2 linked regions of the Xenopus tropicalis genome follow. The protein of the gene in region 2 interacts with the protein of the main gene of each other region in a pairwise test. Links are inferred from orthologs where the notes say so. Each region holds a gene or a part of one and is shown on either strand. Other genes may lie near its edges. The genes, in order: nup54 and ift20.

Region 1 (7,635 bases), on a different chromosome or scaffold from region 2:
ATTAGTCACCTTTGGTAGCAGCGCTCTATGGCGGGGGACTTAATTGCTTCTTGGGACATTAACCTTAAATGGCACAAACTATCTTTAACAAACAAAGGGAGGTTCTACGGCTGTTTAGCCAGGTATGGGAAAGCATTGTGCAGAATGAATATAGTGCTCTAGCTTGCACTATCGTGACTAATCTACTGGCAATAAAATGCCTTTCCTTCACCTTTAAATTTGCGATAGACTGAGAGACCCTCTCAAGGTCACCAAAAATGTATTTGGATTAGCCAACCAAGGTTTGACCTAATAGTGTGGCCTCTGGATCAATGACTAGTCATCCCTAAGACCTTTGACTCATTGGGGAAATGCTGCATTAACAGTCCCTGCCCACCATAATTTTGAGACCTGCCCAACAGATATCTGTCTGATCGCTATCCAGTTATCCGTTATACAAGCCATCACTTTGGCAATAGGCAGACAAATATGACACCAACTTGGTCTAAAAAGGCCAAATTTGTAGGTAATGTTAGGCCATCCATGGCTACCTTTACTTTTTGTATGTTCTTAACCTCAGTCCTAACTTTCAAATATTAATATTTTATAAAATTAAATTGTGCATTGTCATAGTAGGTGTCCCATGGAGTCAAATTTAACAGCATAGAACATCTGCTAAACTCCTTGCAGCATAAAAAAGTTAAAATCACTTAGTCCAGCCCAACATAATCCACACTTTGATTAGATAAACTTCAAGGTGCACTGGGAATATGCACCATTTAACTCTGCTGGCAGCAGATTTGGAATGCCTTTTTTGGCTGAAATGGGGTACAGAAATAATTTTTAGGGATTCAGTTATGTGATTCAGTAGGTAGGGGTTGTTCTTCTTTAAAATCAGAAATTAAAAGAGTGCATTCTCAGAGAATTATGTAATACTAAGCAATGGGTAAACCTTAAAAGCACTTATATTAAGTGTGTTAGTATTGCATACTAACTTGGAAAACTAGCAAAATAACCAAAATATGGTTTGTAGCTGCAATAGTATTACCCTGCTGCACTGATCAATGCCTTTGTTGCACTACTGTCACCTATTCTTGGACCAATGCACTGCATTTTAAGACATACACATACATTCATATTTCTCTACCTGCACTTGCCAGGCTGTTACCAAAATTGAAGGGTGCTGCTGGAGCAGTAGACACACTGAAATTCCCAATGTTAAAGTTTAAAGCTGGATTAGCAGCTAGTCCAAACCCCCCAAAGTTAAACCCACTGGCATTGGAGGTCACCGATTCCAGCCCTCCAAATCCTGATGAGTAGGAAGCATGAAGAAAAGTTAGCAAGAATTAGAGTCATGTGTACAAAAGTGGGGAAAAGGAAGCAAAAGAGACAGTAAAAATGAAGTAACCCACAGCATTATTCAATTATAACAGTGTTTTTAAAGGACATGTAAACCCCACACACAAAAATGTAATTAAGTTGTTCTAAACTCAGATTACTAAACACACCCCTCCCAGTCTAGCAGCCAGTGAAGAGATGGCATTGCTGGTTCCCATAGAAACTCAGCTCTAGCTGTCTGCTTCAATTTTTCTCTCCTAACCTCGTCTCCTGAGCTCAGCTCAAACACAGCAGAACTTTTATCAGATACAGTTCTGCCTGTGTGAGCCTGTATTCTTGAAGAAATGTATGCTAAATAAGGGTGTGTGTGTATGCTGTTTGCAGATTTAAATGTATCTGATTATGTATCGGAGGAAAAATGGCCACCCAGTGAAAGTTGCTATTTGCTTTTGGAAAATGCGATGGTGATAGCAAGGGGAGGGGATATATGCAGTACAAATGATGCCATTTGGGTGGGGGAGATGTGTCACACTGATATACATTGTAGATAAATGTAGGCTTTACATGTCCTTTAAAAACATCTGATTCCAGAATGTTTGTGAGGGTTATCATTCATCCAGACCATGATATACAGTATTTAGTAGTCTAAAGAAACTGGACAGCTGAGTAATCTTGAAAAAGTGCACTCCAAAACAGAACACTGAACAAACGCTGGCCACTTCTCCCTTCGCACTGGTTTCCAGGACTCATGGGGCCTTTTGTGTGTGCACGCTATCGTCTGTAAACATTGTAGGTGCAATGTTTGGTTTTATAATATATTAAAGTAAGGTTTTTACACAATGTTGCACTCTTACTGCTTTCAGTGATTAGAAAAAAAGTACAATCTACAAGTGAATTTGAGGGGTCGTTTTATGGAGTTAATCTGCTGACAGCATTTATCTACCAGTTGTTTTTGAATACCACACAATATAGAACTGTCTTTTTGTTGTTTATTCTATACCCTTTGGCGCTGAAGTTTGGTTTCATTATTGAAGGATCACTTTGTGGAATCCTAAAACTTCAGCAAGGATTGGTTTGGTCATTTACATTTTGTTGATTCTTTTTTTACTCCAAAACAGAGACCTGCTTTCGCCCTTCAAATACAGCACTGTATTCATGAGGGGTGAGCTGGGGTGCTTGTGGCAGGGGTAGCAGCAAATGGCCCCTTGCAACTTTTTGACAAATCAATAACATTGTTTGAGTTTCAAAAAAAGACAAAACAGAATAAGTCAACTTAAATCTAGAGAGGTCTTCCCAAAAGTCTTGGTAAAATAATATGGAAGTATCTCAGGAAAAATGCAGATGCATTTACAAGATGTGAAAATTAAATGTTTTTACCCACATGAAGAATAAAAGATTATTCTAAAAGTTCACTCAAGAAATGGGAGCAGCACTGCATCTGATTTAACCATGATTTAACAAATAAGCAAGTTTATTCTTACCTCCAAAGCCTGTTGATGCAGTTGTGGTAGTTGTACCGAAACCAAACCCTGATGTAGTAGTCTTAGGCGTAAAAGTGCCAAGTGAAAATCCAGTTGTACCTAGAAAAGTAGATATGGGAAAAAAATAATTAGAACATATTAAATATAGGAAGCAAAACAAAAATTCAGCAATAAAATGAAAGACCCTTTTACATTTTGTGGCTTTATCATCAAAAGAAGACTACATTAGAACTGCTCCGAGAGCACTTGAGCAGGTTTAACTTCGTAAGGTTTTAAATCATATTAGAAGTTTAATGGGATGCACATCTAGGAAACAATACTTAGCTGATTTGAGGGCAGCCCAAGTGCTAAATGACTATATAGGTGGCTCCTCCTGTGATATACCAATCCCTTTCTCCCTGAGCCATTTTATAGCTGTACTGACAACTAGAAAGAAAGGTCCTACCAGTTCACTCCATTCCAAAGTGCTTTGTTGCCTGAATAGTTTATGTTAGTGCCATAATAACTGAAATTCAGTCGAGTGGATTTGACAGTCTCTGCTTACAGCAAAGAAAGTTTATTATGGGCAGTGTTGGACTATAGTGGCAGGGTCCCTCCAGAAAAATCTAAGATTATGGGCCCACCCTCTAGACAATTTTTCCTCCTGTTCTCACTCAGTCCCTTATTAGTCCTCTTTATGTGCTATACTATTCTTCCATCTATACAGATTCCATGTTACCATACAGAAATAGAGGGCCCACTGACACCTGGGCCCACTAGTTTTTATTTTATTCCAGTGGGCCAATATGACGCTCATTATGTTTCAGTTATTTAGCAATGTTTTTTTTAGATATCTGCATCAAAAATGATCATAGGTTCTTTGTGGAGCAGCTCACAGGCCTTTTATAAAACCTTCCATTTAATATCTGCCTCCCAATTTCCCAGGGTTAAGTTGCTCAAGAAAGGTTTTAAATGCAAGTAAATTGAGATTTTTTGCAACGAAAATAAATGCTTGGTGATGACATGGTTGCCAAGAACATTCTGGCTCCTTAGTCTGATATCGGAGTGTTTTTGCAAACATATCAACACTTATGTAGTCACTGTAATTTTCACTAAACAGTGCCTAGGCACTCAACCCCAAGATTGCAAGCTTTATGTGGAGGGAGCTCCCTCTCATAGTCTTCTAAGCCTCAATAGTTAATTTCAAATGCATTTTTTTTCTATTTATATGTTATTATATTGTTTACCATTCAATAATGTCATTATAACGTACAGAAATGTGTAAACAAGGTGTGCTGCATAAAAATCACACTCATTTTTCATTCATTACTACATTTTTTCTCTTAGGATCTACATGTGGGGTGGTTTACAGCTCTGGCACGACTATAACATAATTATGTACGAGCAAACCCAGTGATAGGTCAATGTCACGTGTGGTTCTTCTCGCCTGCCGGCCAATACATTTTCCCATTCCGGAAAATTTTGCTCGCTCACCTTGGTTGGCCGGCGTCCCAGTGCTGGCTCCAAAGTTGAACGCCATGCCCCTGCTCACCGATGCACCGAGGTTCTTTGCAGCAATTCAACCCACCTCCCACGACCGGCTTCAGAGTTAGACACACCAGGAGGTAGCAACAAATAGTAGCAGACCTGCTAAATCCTGATTAACTCCCGCGCTTACGAAAGCGCTTGTCAGATAGGCCCAGCTCAGAAGCCGGAGAACACGCCGCCTTGCGTAAGGAATTACGTATACGTCGAGATCATAGAGATGCAGGTTTCTGGAGAGACAGTCACTCTACAGTAGACGGATTCGCCTATGCGTACTGGAGAAGAGTTTGCGTTGCATATGGGTTGGGATATTTCTGGTTGGCTCCAATTTCTATAAATTTAGCGGATCTGTTTATCTGAAGTATAGGAAACATGCTGCTCACTTGTTGCTAGTTGCTGTCATTGTAACGGGCTTTGTATTCCTAGTGGCAATGCTCCCTATTAGGTTAAAAAATAGAATGCAAACACGCGTTTGTTAATAGGGTAAACTATATACCCCCATTTTTATGCTTTAATATTAGCTTATTCTAGTGCATGAACACTGTAAATTGTGAACATATTTTTATTTACACGGACATACCTTATTCCACGGATTAAAGGAAATTGATTTATCCTTGCTACATATGAACCACTTCCCGACCGCTGCTTGTAACATATGCTTCTGATTTCTATAGTGGGTGGTGCAGAGAGACCCTTACTTTCTTTTGTAGAACGGGAAGCTGGCAGGCCAAGATTTATTTAGTAACAAGTTTGTTCTATAGTACACAGGTTAATCCTTTAGTGCTGACATGCTGCCTAAACTACCATTACAGGATAGGAGTTCTTTTTGGAAAAAAAAGTCCTTGTGGTAATTCCCCCTGAGGTCACATGTACGTATGAGAGAGTGCAACAAGAAAAATGCAAGGTTCAGTTAGCATATTTTTCTCCACAATACAGCATTTTTCCTGGATGTCATGATATAGGCCTGTAAGAGTTAATTAAGCAGGCCAAGGTATCCCAAAATCTTCCAGAAATGTGCCAGAAAGAGATATATAACAGGCCTCTGGTCACTAGGGTCTGGAACCAGCCATGTGTAAAGGCCTCACATCCTGGAACGCCCAACTCTAATCTCTGGCTGATAAGAGCCATGCCATGTGAGGGAGTGAAACCCACGTGGGGGTGACTTAGAGTTCACATTGGGACCCATCATAGGTGAGGTGGAGATCACACCATAACCCAAACTCACAAACATTTATTGTCCCAGAACCCATACTATTTATACTAGAGGTACCAAAACCTGAGTATATGTTTCATTTAAGATGGCCTTTCTTACGGGTCCAAACATCGCTGGATTTGGGTTCTCGGTTTGTCAGATAGGAGTATCTGGGCAGGGGCAGGTCACACAGTAGTGATGTTTAGTCTGTATGGGACCGGTGGGATCATTTAGAATTGATGAACCTAATTTCATCTTTCTATTATGTTCCCACAAGGAGTTATGGACATTGGTATCATTGGACCAGTCCATACACAGGAGGCCATAAAACTCACACTGTGTCCTGCTAATGGTGACTCCCCTTGCATTCCTGAGGGAGGGGGGAGTGTCCAGTTACCTGATCCCCTGCAAACTGGGATAAATAGTCAGCTCTTCTGACTATACTCGGATATTCTGTGGAGGACCAATTTCTATTAGAAGTTTATCCTGTGGTTTCCCCTTGCCTCCAGGGCTAGAAGGACTTTGCTTGGTATAGTATAGGACTTCTATATTTTTCCCTTTTATTTTAAAACTGTTTGTACTTGTTTTATCGTATGTCCTTTTTTGTAACATCTTGTTTTAAACTTGCACTGTTATACTTTTTATAATATTATAGTGTAAGAAGTATGAGAGTGGTGGCAGCAAGTTGTGTATGAGTTTGTGAGCGTTGGTTGGTCTTTGGGGTGCTGTGATGCTAGTCTGACCTGGGTGTCAGGTGTGTGAGACTGAGCAAGGGACCCTCTAGACAGCCACGCCTAAAGTCATGTGCGTCTGAAGTGGCGTAATCGTGACACTGGAATTTAAGCTTCATTGCAGTTGCCATGGGGCAATGCACTTGAAGCAGTTTTTAAAGGGGTTGGTCTTCATAGTTAGTTCAAAGTTAACTTTTAGTATTTTATAGTATGGATTTTAGCACATTTTCAATTCATCTTTATTTTTTATATTTCTTGTATTCCTGGCAGGTGCCATTTTGTGCTGTTATTAAAGGAGACATATCGTATAAAAATACAGAATGTACCAGTGAATTATACTCCTCTAAATATAGAAGGATTGTGCTTAAAAAAAGTTGTGTTTTAGACAGATTTATTGAGAAATTCCACCAAAACCACACTAGTCCCGCCCATCTGTTCCACTTCCTGCTTGCTGAATTCACTGGAGCCGGCAGCTGTCAGTACAAGGCACTGTAGGATAGGAACCAATCAGCAGCTAGGCTGATCTGTTAGGGAATTGAAGGCTGTCTTTGCTTGTGTGAGTGCGAGGCAGTGATTGGCTATCCCCCTCCTGCGGTGTTTCTGTTAGGGCACGCCCACCCTTCATTTGAAACAGAGAACTGATAGGATCTATAGGGAGCTCCAATAAAGGGGCCATCTTTACAGACAGGATTCATTTTTAGCCCAAAGTGAAACCAGCACCATATATTATTCATAATTGCCTTCAAAATTTTCCATTTATACAATATGTCTCCTTTAAGGCAAGCTTTGCATCCTGCCAAAATCTTTTTTGTACCAATATGGGTGGCCTGATACCCATGTCCATGCACAGAACAGAAAAGAAATAGCTGCACCTTCCACAATTAAGTTAAGCTCCACCAAATGTTAACACTAATGTATAAACAAGATAGAGGGGGAGAAATGTCTCCAGATAACGTGCAAATGAAGTATTTACATATATAGAAAGCAGCAAGGAATTAATATTATAACCTCATGTACAATGGTAATAGGATCACAATTGATTAATCACAGATGAATTTTCTTATATACATTTCTATTGTAAATATTGCTTGTAAAATTTCGCCCCCTTGTGGCCACTGTGTGAAATTTGTTTTTCTCTTAGTATGGCTAAATATCCGATTTAAAAACCGGCACACAGAGGGGGCGTGCTAGCCCTTGAAAAAGCTCCATTTAATGGGAGCGAAACACGCGTCGGGCAGAGCGGCTTGTTCTTTTTGGGGGGAGGTCGGGCTGCAGATGCGGGGGGCCTTCTACCTAATGGGGTGGGTTTGAGAGGGTGCACGAATACTGTGCAGTTTTAGGAGCGGGGGTATTTCGTCCTAGGGACAAGGGAGGCTTTACTATAGTGGAT
Region 2 (6,312 bases):
AGTTGGGTTTATAGACAAACAGGGGGACCTTCCTCGCACACCCTTAGCTCTCTAAAAATTTGAAACGCTCGGTGCACAATGCTGGAGGGATGGGCACCCTCCCAAAATTACAAATAGTAAAAAAAGCACTGGCATTTAGAGCTGCAAATGGGACAAGCCCTTTAGAAATCTTTATTGCGGAGATGCAGACTTTTTGGGGCAAAGTGACCCCTTCTTCAAGCATGCTTGATAAAGGGATCACTTTGCCCCGTATATAATTATGTATAAATATATAAGGGGATCATATATAATAATCACTCTAAATGCTTTATTTGCCAGTAGGTCCTTTTAGCAGATACAAGAGTATCCATTCTGATTAGAATAAAGGAAGTTTTGTCTAAATATTCGGAAAGGGTTTTTTCCAGTGAGAGCTGTGTTTGGCCAGATGAAATCAGTTGCACTGGCAGATACATTATATATGATGGCTTTTTAGAAAGTGAGGGAATATAGGGTTATGGACAATAGCCCTTAGTACAAGTTGATCCAGGAACTGGTCCGATTGCCATCTTGGAGGCAAATTCAAGAGGTTTCAGAAGGGTTTTTTTTTGCCTTCCTCTGGATCAGCTAGCAGTTAGGCAGGTTTTATATAGGCATAAAAGGTTGAACTTGGACATGTGTCTTTTTTCAACCTAGCTTACTATGTAATTAGCCATTTGCATCTCCGAAGAGAGAGCTGGGTTAAGCCTTGCTTTCTTATGCCTTTAATTTAGATATGAGCAACTCACAGATATTTATGCCTGTAACTACGTGATTTTAGATAAATATCAGAGCATAAGACGAGGCTTATGGGCCCAGGTGACAAATTTTGCTGACTGGGACATTTATCAGTCCTACTTTATCCTTGCCACCTGTATCCTCAACACTTGCCACTTAGTTGCTGCACCTCTCTCACTAGCCAGGGATTCTACACCAGTTGCACTAATCAAATAAAGCCACACACAGTTGTAAATGCAAGGGGCCTTACCCCATTTATTGAAATTACTTAGTGCCAAGGTTTGGGTTCCCATAGGTACCAGGTATGGACCTCAGAGATTACTCAGTCATTCAGCAACTGCTTGAGACTGCACTGTTCAGAGAACTCCTTGTTCCTCAGTTGCTTTTAGTAAGGTTACATTTTTGGTTTTGTGATTTACAAATTACTAACTGGTAATTCCTATTCCAGGTAAGTGCTTAAATATCAAGCAGTTTTGTTGGGCTTTTAAATGGAGTCTTGTAATAACACATTCCAAGAGCTGAGTTCGTGGTGAGAGTAGCACGAGAAAAGGAGGAGATCTGGTGAAAAATGTCCTTGTATCTCAGGCTGCTTCTCTAATACAGATACACCCATAGAATGGACTGTACAGTGCCTCTCTGGCAGCCTTGTCTTGCGAGACATCTCTGCAGTGAAGCTAGGGGTAATGTCTCTGCAGATTCATGGCGTGGGCAATGCACACATTATATTTTGCATAAAAGTGCTGAACACACAGTGATCTTAAAGGAACCTGAATGGTGTTCATACATGATGAGAACCAAAGGCAAAAAAAGAAATTGATTTACACATGTATTTCTTGAAGTTGAAGTTGGGCTTGGTGCTTGGGCTTTTGGGAGTTAGAGGAAACATGCAGATACTCTCTGAATGTTTCCCTGTGGAGAAGACAAGACAAGACAAGACAATGAGCAGGGACAATCTTTAGGGAAACATTTTTTTGTTGGGGCAAATATAATCATTGGGGAAGGGATGTGGGTTGATCTATACATTCGCAAATAATTAGTTGTCCTTAGCAGTATCTGTTCTTAGTTAGTGCCGCTCAACAGGTTGCAGACTCCCGTGGTGGCTGCATATAGTTACAAATATGATAATTAATTTACCCGGAGAGCACAATAAGCCTTATAGCTTCATTACAGTGACTTGTGACTTTATTGTGGAGACTTCATGCACTACATGTTTTACCTCAACAGCCTTCTTCAGGTGCTTGAAATGCATGAGGTCTCCACAATAAAGTCGCTGTGATGAAGCTATAAGGCTCATTGTGCTCTCCGGGTAACTGAATTATTGTATTTGATTTATACATGTTTACTCTGTATTCCTAAGCACCCAGAGATCAAACCAATGTAGTTGTGCTTTAGTACTTGCCCCATGAGGGGGGAGCTTTTTTTTATTTTTTGCTAACAGCACAATTTTGCAGAAAATTAGAGTGAACAAACTATAATTTAGAGAAAAAGAACTATATCAGATTCCCTAAAGTTCTCTCCAAATCTAAGCGGCTATGGAGAAACAGTGGCAGGGAGTAGATACATTTTATGTTGAATGTGGTCTCACCAAAGATGTCTACTGTCAATAAGTACATAAGCCGAGCATCAAAAGGTAACTAGTTTCCAATATTGGAATTGTGTAACAAGCTGTGAGGCACCTTTTGCTGTTGCTGCTATCTGCACCCTGTCCCTTCTGCTCACTTGTACACTGGCATTAACAATTGCCTAAAGAACAGAAGCACAGTTGAAGCATTGTGATACATTTTTCTTTTTTTATAAATCGAGGCAAATTAAATGTACACAAAAAAGCATCCATATAAAACATTTGTTTCTATGCACTGAGAGCACAATACTTATCCATCCACTGATCAACAGCACTCCAAGCAATTTAACATGTGCAAATAAATGATATAAAATGAGATACATTAAAAACTAAACAAATCCAACTCCAGTTTCAGTCACGACCAACATGTATGTAGAAACGTACCAATAAAAACGTTACCCGTCGCCGTTGCTCGGCTTTTTCAATACTTCTGATTTAAGATGAACTGTGGGGTATTTTCCCCTGATGAACAAGAACACACTATAGAAATGTTGTTGCTAAAGTACCAATGATGTACGTGTGTGTGTGTGTGTGTGTGTGTGTGTGTATATATATATATATATATATATATATATATATAGGCAAATTTTGCTGTCATTCTCTTCACATTTCCAATTATAATAACCGCCCATCTCTGCAAAGCGTTTAAATCTGTTTCTCTCAAACTGTGAGGCTATTTTTAAGATGTGAGTTGTCCCCATATGCACATAAGCATACATGGAGCAAAGTTGCTCTTCTTACAGCGTTTTCTGCAAAGGCAATGTCAAAAATATATATAACCGTAATCTTTACAGACATGCAAAGCCCTGCCTATAACTTCACAGTGATGATTCAAGTGGGTGAGATATCGGTGAAAACAGGGTTTAGATAACCTTAGGTGGGGTAAGCTGAGCCAAAATATGCCAGCATAATCCCTGCTAAGCGGCTATTACTGATGCATGACTGTTCATTGCAGGAAATACACATTCTTAAATGTGCTGATGTGTTGCATTAAATACATTGTGTCCAGCATCTAATAACTGTACTTAAACTATGGTTTAAAAAGCACTTGGGCAGATAGAAAGTATAATAATACATTTTAATGTTTAACAATGATTTAAAAATAGGCTTGTATCTCTTAAAGCTTCTTGACCGGTTACTTGCTGGAGAGAAATGCTGGTTTTGTTCTTTTACGATGAAATGTCTGAAACAGCAGAGCTTGGTCAGGTGTCCGAGAATGCTTTAGACAAAAGGAGCAAGTAGTATTGAGGAATGTTTTATTGAACAGTGCTGCAATGTCCAACTGGAATTGCAATGAAATGTGTGTACTGAGAAGAAATTCTTGCTGGGAAAATAAAGCGACCCGCGCAGTCAGCCAGAGCAATCACAGCCTGCAAGTGGTGCTATTTCTGGAGGTTAAATTGATCAATAAATTCATTTTGTTCAGCTTCCACTTTACACAGTGCCTCGTATTCTATTCGGTACCTGAAAGAAAGGAACAATAGAAATCATTATCCAGGAAGCTCCCAGATATAGAAGAGCCATTTCCCATTATGTCCTACTTATAGGGGACATCTGCACACCCATATAACTTCATTTAATATTGCTCTTATAGGCACATTTGCAGTTACCATATGTGTGTGTGTGTGTGTGTATATTATATGTGCGTTTTTTTTTTTTTTTTTTAATTTCATGTTAGCAGTTTTAACCCTGCTAATATAAAGAATGTGTAACCGAAGCACCCTTTGTTGTGGGGGCATTTTATATCTTATAGGGTGCCCCTTTCTCTACTCCAAAACATGACACATTGCAGTTATCCTCAACCTATCCCAGGCTGTGCCTTGTATTCATTATGTTCCATTCAAGCTAAACGTTTGTCTATAAATTATTCATGGAGAAAATATCTTCCTCCAGCTTTATATATACTGACAGACCACCGCCATCATCCTTCTTCAATTAAAAGGCTAATCCAGAGAAGTCTTGCTGCTGATGACAATTGGTGGAGCAAATAACAAAGTTGGTAGAGTTAATATTTGCACAAACTGTTCCTCAGGCTGCACCACCCACCTTATGCACAAATAAGCAAATAAATGCAACTTATGACTAAACTGAATACATACAGGCACAGGATTTGCCCATTGGTAAATACATACCTTTCTAGTTGCATTTTCTTCTCTGCTATTAAGGCATACAGTTGCTGCTGCTGGGCTTCTCTTTGCTTTGCTATAGATTTTAATAAGTTCCGGGCACCTATTGCCTATTAATGAAATAAATACATTATTATTTAAATGTTTGGCCATACACTCAGCTGATCATTGTGCTGTGGGACTACCAAGCACTATTCAAGACAAAGTATTTCTACAGCAGATTGATTGCTGTGCTCTGTGACCAAAGTGTATTACTAGCAGTTAAATCAAATGAAAAGCTGCATAGCATTGCATCTAAGAATGCATCGTAACGCATATATTGTGCTACTAAAACTAAGCTTGCTTTTGTTTACCACAAAACTCTCTATTGTATTATCAAGTGTCAAGTGCAAAAAATGCCCCAATGCAGAAAAGAAAACACGACTGCAATTAAAAATAAATTCTGACCACATAAGTACAAACAGACAGAATATAATGGAATTAATGAGCTGATGTGTTTAGCAGCGATTGAATAACCATGCATCAATATCTAGAAAACACCAGTGTATAGCGGCCTGCCTACGGTTTTTCTGTGACAATACTGTACGTGTTTGGCACAGTTTGCAAGAGAGTGCTTTTAATATTGCATGGGATTCTTTCTGCTTCTTACATGTTTATTTCTGTGTCTGGTGAGGTTACATCCAGTAGGCAGAGGACAACCATGCCAATAAACATGCTTATTAATATCTGCTTTAGTCGGAAAAATAGAAAACAGTGGTGTTGGCATGTCCATCAATCACTCTAACCAACCCTTGGGGGTATTTCAGACAAAGGGTGAATAGTCTTCATTTAAATTAATTAAGAATTTATATCCTCACCTTCATTTTTTCGTTTTCGGTTTCTTTTGCTAGCTCATCAACAAGTTCAATTAGTCCACCCACTACTTTCTGAAAATGGCCTATTTCTAAAGAAAAAAAAAAAAAAAGGCGCCATTTGTTAGTAAGAAACACATATTGATATAAGTGATTAACATTGGGATCTGACACTGCAATTCTCTCATACTTATATATGAATCACAGATATGCAGGCTTCCAGCAGCGACTTGCTATAAAAGGCATGTGACAACAGCTGGAGGGCTGTAAAAATATTCTCTAGACCTGGGATCCCCAACTTTTTTTTTTTTTTTTACACTACTCGTGAGCCACACTCAATTTTACAAGTGTTGGGGAGCCACACAAGTATGAACAAAAAATTCTTTAGGAATGCCAAATAAGAGCTGTGATTGGCTAAGTGGTAGCCCCATGTGAACTCCTTGCCTCCAGATAGCTCTACTTGAAGTAAACCTGTGTCTTTGTGTTTCCAAAACTTGCCTCCAAGCCAGAAATGTAAAAATGGGCGCCTACTTTGAGGCCACTGGGAGCAATATCAAAGAGGGTGATCGGGAATCACTGCCCTAGACTAATTTATATCTGGAACGCCAGGATGAGCAGCATCTCCATTTGTACTTAAAATAGCAGCTTTTGGTGCCCATGCAATAATTATGCAGCAGCTGGAAAGTTAAAGCTATATACACGTGGCTTCTGTAGCCTCACAAAGTATGGAACCTGTTATCCATAATGCTCGGGGACCTGGGTTTTTCTGGATAAGGGATATTTCCATAATATGAATCGCCATACCTTAAGTCTGCTAAAAATCATTTAAACATTAAATAATCCCAATAGTTTGTTCTGCCTCCAATGAGGATCGATTATATCTTCGTTGGGATAAAGTACAAGGTGCAGTTTTATTATTACAGATAAAAATGAAATCATTTTCAATAATTAGAATTATTTG

The links.
Region 1: the proteins of ift20 (region 2) and nup54 interact in binary tests that used the Homo sapiens proteins (3 or more experiments, as listed by UniProt). The two-hybrid records come from large-scale screens. The link is inferred for Xenopus tropicalis from reciprocal best matches to the Homo sapiens genes IFT20 and NUP54.

The regions. Positions count from the first base shown.
Region 1 is NC_030677.2:81,672,761-81,680,395, forward strand, and holds the start of nup54 (nucleoporin p54), read right to left. Parts: upstream 4,484-7,635; 5' UTR 4,318-4,483; coding exon 4,272-4,317; intron 2,898-4,271; coding exon 2,799-2,897; intron 1-2,798. UniProt on the Homo sapiens protein: Component of the nuclear pore complex, a complex required for the trafficking across the nuclear membrane.
Region 2 is NC_030678.2:47,404,994-47,411,305, forward strand, and holds the end of ift20 (intraflagellar transport protein 20 homolog), read right to left. Parts: intron 5,444-6,312; coding exon 5,358-5,443; intron 4,611-5,357; coding exon 4,507-4,610; intron 3,839-4,506; coding exon 3,757-3,838; 3' UTR 2,946-3,756; exon of another isoform or gene 2,912-2,945; 3' UTR 2,530-2,911; downstream 1-2,529. UniProt on the Homo sapiens protein: Part of intraflagellar transport (IFT) particles involved in ciliary process assembly. May play a role in the trafficking of ciliary membrane proteins from the Golgi complex to the cilium.